2 linked regions of the Oryctolagus cuniculus genome follow. The protein of the gene in region 2 purifies or fractionates together with the protein of the main gene of each other region. This does not show direct contact. Links are inferred from orthologs where the notes say so. Each region holds a gene or a part of one and is shown on either strand. Other genes may lie near its edges.

The links. The genes of interacting proteins can lie anywhere in the genome.
Region 1: the proteins of ASF1B (region 2) and TLK1 purify together in Homo sapiens (co-immunoprecipitation; 3 studies listed by BioGRID and IntAct, counting the BioPlex papers as one, with this or other methods). This does not show direct contact. The link is inferred for Oryctolagus cuniculus from reciprocal best matches to the Homo sapiens genes ASF1B and TLK1.

The regions. Positions count from the first base shown.
Region 1 is NC_091434.1:70,090,726-70,094,374, reverse strand, and holds part of TLK1 (serine/threonine-protein kinase tousled-like 1), read right to left. Parts: intron 3,108-3,649; coding exon 3,015-3,107; intron 1,369-3,014; coding exon 1,258-1,368; intron 1,155-1,257; coding exon 1,018-1,154; intron 1-1,017. UniProt on the Homo sapiens protein: Rapidly and transiently inhibited by phosphorylation following the generation of DNA double-stranded breaks during S-phase. This is cell cycle checkpoint and ATM-pathway dependent and appears to regulate processes involved in chromatin assembly.
Region 2 is NC_091447.1:62,994,527-62,998,275, reverse strand, and holds the start of ASF1B (histone chaperone ASF1B), read left to right. Parts: upstream 1-1,316; 5' UTR 1,317-1,429; coding exon 1,430-1,538; intron 1,539-3,749. UniProt on the Homo sapiens protein: Histone chaperone that facilitates histone deposition and histone exchange and removal during nucleosome assembly and disassembly. Cooperates with chromatin assembly factor 1 (CAF-1) to promote replication-dependent chromatin assembly.

The DNA.
Region 1 (3,649 bases), on a different chromosome or scaffold from region 2:
CTCCAGAGAATTAAAACTCAGGCTCACTAGCATCACAAGGGTGCTGCCCTTCACGCGGCATGCCTAACACCTGATCAGCGGTGCTGAATCAGTCTGCTCAGGGAGATCAGCCTGCAGCAACACCCAGAAACCAGTCACCAGCAAAGCTGATGTGATATCACGTAAAACAAAGGCTTTGGCTCGGTTTTCCAACTCTGGAAAAATTGATACAAATGCTGGCACTAGTTTTCCTTCTGGGTTTCTCTAAGTTTTCCAGCACAAAAAGGAACAGCATAGATGCTCTTTACACATAAGTTTTTACACATAACCAACCTATCCTTACCTGCTACCATCAAACTCAAGAGAATATAGTAACAACGATCCCTTTGTTTTAAAGAAACACTAACACCACATATTCAGCTCATGACTTAAAAGTACTGCATTTGAGGCAAAAGGGAAAAACTTCTGAGGCCGGTGTTACAGGGAAGTGGGTCAAGCTGCTGCTTGGGAAGTTAATATCCCACATCATAGTGCCAATTCAAATCCTAGCTGCTCTACTTCCAATCCAGCTTCTTGCTAATGTGCCTGGGAACACTGCAGTGAATGACGGCCCAAGTGCTTGGGTCCCTGCTACACATGTGGCAGATGGAGTTTCTGGCTGTTGGCTTTGACCTGGCTCAGACCTAGCTGTTACAGTCATTTGGGAAGCGAACCAGTGGACAGATGTTATCTGTCTTTCAAACAAACTTAAAACACTCCTTAAAAATAAAAAAGTCGTGGGGGGAGGAGTTCTTTTCCTTACTAACAACAAAGAACAGGTAAACACAGAATATCAATATTTAACTAGGTGAATGCTAATTTATCAAGAAGGTTGCTAATGCTAAATTGTAATATATCTGTTTCCTATTCCTTTCAAATCTAAGAAATCTGTGATTCCAAATGCCAGTAAGGAGATGTAGAACATAATTCTAAATCCATAATCTTTCAAAGTAATGAAAAGTCATATGCTAAAAATTTTTAAAAATAAGAATGACTAACTTCACAAGATTCTGAAATGCAAAACCATCTGTCCATTGTTCAGTAAATGAGGCGCCATGTCTAACTGTGGTAAAGTGTCCAAGGCGTAATCTATCTTGCATACTCTTCTCTCTGCTTGACAGTTTTTCTTGTGTACTCTGAAAAAAGACAAAATCATAACTCAGATTTATTCATTTACATTTTAAAAGCATACAAGGCATAAGTGGCTGTGAAAGAAAATTTACTGAACTTTTAACCTACCTTTTCAATAAGAAGTTTCTTGCTCATTGATATACACTTATTTAATCGTTCTTTGTATTTTTCAAGTAATTTTTGTTGTTCATCTATTTGCCGTCTGAGATCACAGTTAGCCTACAACATAAGTAGAAAACACTAGAATTTAAATATATGAAAAACTTAGGAATATCTTTAATATTCTGAATACATTAAATAGGGATAGGATTAAACATCTGAGTATGATACTAAACAACAACAAAAAAAGCCTACTTACCATGCTATAATGCTACTTAACAGTATAACAGAAAGTATGTGGACTCTGTAACCATAATCCACACTCTAAGACAGGGCTGGAGAAGGCCCAGCGAAATCATTTGGTCTGGCCTGGCCAAGGCAACTACAGACAAGTATTGAAATTTAATACATCTATACAGCAGGCTAATTTTAAAGCTGATAATTCTGTATGGCCCGCAAATGATGTTATAAATATCTAAATGGCTCTTGGCAGGAAAAAGGTTGCCCACCCTTGCTAAGGTATACAAGGTTGGCTAGGTTAAGTAAATTAACCTGGACCTAAGTTTGGTTTTTAAATTTCTAAATGGTGTTTACTTTTTGTTTTTCTTTTTTATTTATTTGAGAGGTAGAGTTACAGACAGTGAGAGGGAGAGACAGAGAGAAAGGTCTTCTGTTGGTTCACGCCCCAAATGGCTGCAACAGCCGGAGCTGCGCCTATCCGAAGCCAGGAGCCAGGAGCTTCCTCCTGGTCTCCCATGAGGGTGCAGGGGTCCAAGTGCTCGGGCCATCTTGCACCGCTTTCCCAGGCCACAGCAGAGAGCTGGATTGGAAGAGGAGCAGTTGGGACTAGAACCGGTGCCCATATAGGATGCCAACGCTGCAGGCGGAGGATTAACCTACTGTGCCATGGTGCTGGCCCCTCTAAATGGTGTTAATACCACCTAGCTCATACTTCATTAAAAAGAACTAAAATGGCATACAATGTGTCTAACACTAAAAATAAATGTGAGTTTTATATCTCTTGTAACTAAAAAGACATTTTCTCCATTAAACTTGTGGATGACACCGTAAGATGCCTATCCAGGTCTGGGCCAGACTGAAGTCAAGAGCCAGGAACTCCATTCAGGTTTCCCAAGTGTGTGGCAAGAACCCAAGAACTTGGGCCATTATCCACTGCCTTCCAGGTATTTTAGTAGGAAGCTGGATTGCAAGTAGAGCAGTCAGTACTCTAACCGCACCCCAATATGCATGCAGGCATTTGCTAGTAGTGGTAGCTTAACCCACTGCATATGCACACTGCTGAAATACTTCCATTTTGAAGTTGGTACTTCCAATCATGTACTTATACTACCAGAAAAAGTTAAATTTTTTTATCTATCAATTTTTTTTACAATGCTATGTATTTTTAAGATTGCTGTCAAATAATTTACTCTCAACTTTTCTCCTCTACTTCTTTTAAGTTAATTAATTAATTTAATTGACAGACAAGGAGAAAGCTGACAGACACAGAGAGACCTCTGGGTCATTCCCAAATGCTTACAACAGCCAGAGCTGAGCCAGACATAAAGCAGGAGCCAGATCCACATGGGTAGAAGGCCCCAAGCACTTCAAGTCATTGCCTGATGACTCCCAGGGCGCTCATTAGCAGAAAGCTGGAATTGAATGTGGAGCCGGGGCTAGAACCCATCACTTGGATATAGGATATGGGTATTCCAAGGGGCATCTTAATCATCATGCAAACGCCTGCCCCACAACTTCTTACTTACCCTGAGCAAATCATCTATACGACCTTCCTTCTTTTCCAGGTCCTGGTTTTTATTACTTTCTAATGCTGCTAATTTCAGCATTGTGAGATCAGTCTAGATGAAATAAAGTTATTTTATTATCTCCATTATAAATACCTTTGCATGCAAATATAAAACTAGGTTTTACCTGACAAAGAAATATACGTGTATTTGTGTTGTGATGCAAAAGACATCCCAAAATGTCTTAGTACAGTTTTAAGTTTATAGTGAAGTTATAAGCGCTTAAAACAACTTCACTATAAATACAAATTTACAATATTTAAGCTATTATTTAGAAAACTGATATTCATTAAAATTGAATATATCCACTGCTTTATGCTATACATCACTCCAGTTAATTCTTAAACTTGCTAAAACTTTTATAAAAAATTTTTAATTGAAAGGTAAATACTGTATGTATTTGTGATATATAGCATTCTGCTTGGAAATCACTCCACATATGTGGAATGGCTCAATCAGGAAATTTCTTAGAAAATTTCATATACATAGTAAATTATTATTAATTTTAATCATCAAAATGTGCAAAGACCCCCTTAAATTTATTCCTCCTGTCTTAATGAAGTATTATATACTTTGACCAACACCTCATGAAGCAA
Region 2 (3,749 bases):
CTGGGTCTCCCACGCGGGTGCAGGGGCCCAAGCACCTGGGCCATCTTCTCCTGCTTTCCCAGGCCACAGCAGGGAGCTGGATGGGAAGTGGGGCAGCCGGGACTCGAACCGGCGCCCATATAGGATGCCAGTGTTTCAGGTGGCGGCTTTACCCACTGCGCCACAGCGCCGGCCCCAGAGGGAGCACAAGGCCCTGCAGCAGGAGGGAGCCCGGGGGTGGGCAGGGGCAGGGCGGGGAGGGTGACAGGCGCGAGACGGGGCCTCGGGGCCCACTGCAGAGATCTCGGTTCCCCGCTAAGCAGGATACGCCTCTGGGGCTTGGCGCTGGGATCTGGGGTTCAGCGACAATCACGCAGCCAGCTCCTCTTCCTCCCAGCATCGGAGACGGAGTCCCCGGTACGGCCTTCCCCGGGGTCGGGAACGGACGGCGCAAAAAAAAAAAAAAAAAAAAAAAATTCACCAAGGTGAGAATAAATAAATGTTTAGTTAAACGCCTAGAAAACATCGTGCTAAGAACTCTGCTCGGGGTGGAATTCGGATGCACCATAACACATTTGGAAATACGATCGCCTAGGCCCTGGCCCCGCAGCCGTCCGGTCCCTGACTGGGCGGGAGCGGGACCCGAACCGCCACTCCCCAGGCCGGGACTCCGCGTCCGCTCACCGCAGACCCCCCAGGCCGCGCACGGCCTCAGCAGCCGGAGCCCCCGGCCCGAAACGCCCACCTGCACACACGCACCGGCATCCCCGCCGCGCCTCCTCCACCGCGCCGGCCCCCGACTTCCGCTCCTCTCCCGCGAATCCTCAGACACGCCTTCCTCTGCTCCCGCCCCCACAGCCACCTCAGCCAATTAGGTCTCCAAAAGCCTGCTTTATCCCCGCCCCACTCCTGCCTGCCAATCACGGCGGCCGCGAGTACCCGCCCTTCCCACGCTCTTAAGCGAGCGCCGCGCGCCACCGCTCGGCCGTTGGCGGTGCTGCTCCCTCAAGGATGCGTCTCTCGGAAAAGCTGCGAGAAGGGGCGGGCCCCGCCTGTGCGGGAACCCTCAGGATTGGCCGAGAGCCGGGCTCTGACTCCGCCCATCCCCGCCCCCGCCATCCGAGTCGGAGACGCTGGGGATTGGTTCCCCGCGGCCACCCCGCGAGAAGCCCACAGCTGGTCCCGCCTCCCTCGCGCGCGTGCGGAGAGGGAGCTCCGCGGATTGGTTTGAGGAGTCCGGGCGCGCGCCAGCGGCGCTCGCGGATTGGCTGACGGGGCGCTCGCGCCGCCGCGGAGCGTTTGCGGTGATTGGCTAGAGGGCGGAGCCGGCGATTTGAAGGCGGCGCGCGGACGCGGTGCGCGTTGCAGTCCGCGGCGAGAGGAGGCGGGAGCGGCCGCCGGTGACGCTGCCCCTCTGCCCGCTCCCCCGACCCCGGCTCCCGGCGACACGATGGCCAAGGTGTCCGTGCTGAACGTGTCGGTGCTGGAGAACCCGAGCCCTTTCCACAGCCCCTTCCGGTTCGAGATCAGCTTCGAGTGCAGTGAGGCCCTGGCGGACGGTGAGGCTGGACCCGTGCGGAGACCCCCACCCCAGCCCTGGGCCGACCCTGACCCCGACCTCCCCGTGGAGAGCCGCCCCGTGGCCAGGCCGAAGCCCCCCGGGGCCCCCTCCCTCCGTCCGCTTAGCCCCCCCCGCTCCCCCATCGCCCCCTCCCAAACCCCAGGACCCCCCTCTCTTGCAATGGCGCTCCTCCCAGGCACCGCTTCCTAATGATAGAGGCGCATCCACCGGCGGAGACCCCCACGCCCCCTGCCTCTTCCCCACCCCTGCCGCCCTCCTCGCCCCCGTGTCCGCCCCAGCCGTGCCCTGCCCAGTGTTTAAATGACCGCGTCCGGGGGTCATTGCGACCCCCGGGGTGGCGGTGGAGGGGCGTCCCGGCTCCCGAGGCTTCCCGGTCCGACCGTGGGCCTGGGTGGGCGGTGGGCGCGCCCCGGACCGGCTTCCCGCGGCTTCCCTATCCCGACGCCGTCCGGTGGGCGGTGGGCGCGCCCGGGGCCCGCGGCGGGGTGGTGGTCGTGGCGCACGGGAGGGCACAGCAGCCACCCGGAGCCCCGGGCCCTGCGCACGCCGGGGTCAGCCGGGGCCAAGGCCTGCGTGCACCCAGCGCTCAGCTCCAGGGCGGAGCCGGGGAGGCCGCTGGGTGGCAGGGGGGTGGCCCGCGGGGCGGCCGCCGCCTGTGGCTGACTGTGGAGTAAGCCGGCTGGAGGCTCTCTGGGACACGCAGGGCGGAAATAAAAGTGTAAGCTGGCGGGGGTTGAGACTCGCTTTAAAGGCCGGCAGGAGAGGCGAGGGGCCCCTCGTCTGAGTTCCCAGGTGACGCGGGTGGGGTGCCGTAGGCCTGCTTTAAAAGCAGGCGCTATCTGAGAAGTGGGTGCCTGCGACGCCCCGGGCCCTGCGGCCCAGGAGCCAAGCCCCCGCCTTGACCCCCTGCGCGTCCCGGGCGGGGGGCGGGGCGTCGCTGGGGCCGTGATGTCTGGGGACAGGAGCCTGGGCAACCCTGGTGTGGGGCGCCTCTGAGTTCCTTCTTCCTCTCCCAGCCCCCAGTCGGGGGCCCCCTGACTCCCAGGGGCCGCACGGAGTACATCAGGGGTGCGTGTGCTTGCGGGGAGCGGGGGAGCCCCTCAGGGAGCTGAAACAGCAGGCGCCCCGCGAGGCCAAGGCCACGGGCAGTACGGCTCGAAGACTGCGGCTCCGGACCGCCTGGTCACCGGATCGCAGCGCCGCTTCGGCTGGAGTCCTGGACGCGCAGCTTCCGACCCAGCTTCCTGCTGCTGCGCGCTGTTGTGCGCCCCTGCCGCCCACGCGGGAGACCCACGGGGAGTTCCAGGCGCCTGGCTGTGGCCTGGCCCACCTCCAGCTGTTGGCATTTGGGGAGTGGACCAGCGGGTAGAAGATCCTGCTCTTTCTGCCCCCCACCCCCCCATCGCCTGCCTTTGTCTCTCTCCTCTGTCACTCCCAGATAAATACAAATGGGAAACAGATTCTTCAACGACAATGATTTCTTGTTTAAATATTTGTTTCATTATTTATTTGAAAAGTAGAGTTACAGAGAGAGAGATAGGTCTTCTGTCCATTGGTTCACTCCCCAGATGGCTGCAACGGCTGGAGCTTCACAGATCCAAAGCCAGGAGCCAGGAGCTCCATCCAGGTCTCCCACTCAGGTGCCGGGGCCCAAGCACTTGGGCCATCTTCCACTGCTTTCCCAGGCCATAGCATAGAGCTGGATCGGAAGTGGAACAGCCGGGACTCGAACTTGCACCCATATGGGATGCCGGCACTGCAGACCCGGGCTTTAACCCACTGTGCCACAGCACCGGCCATCACTTTCTTAACGTGTGTTTAATCATAGCATTGGCTTTGCATTTGTTGTCATACGGAGTAGAGGTGTATCCTGTGCGGGGTTCAGCCTGTAAAATTGGGGATCAGAACAAAATGTAATTGACGTGCCTTTAATCGTGTTCAGAAGTTAGATAGACTGTGTGTATACAGTTATGTCCTGTATTTGGTAGGTATTTTTTTAAGAACTTATTTTATTTGAAAGGCAGAGCTACAGAGAGATCTTCCATCTGCTGGTTCACTCCCCAGATGACCACACGGCCAAGGTTGAGCCAGGCCAAAGCCAGGAGCTCCATCCAGGTCTCCCACGTGGGTGCAAGGGCCCAAACCCTTGGCCATCCGCTGCTGCTATCCCAGGTACATTAGCAGGGAG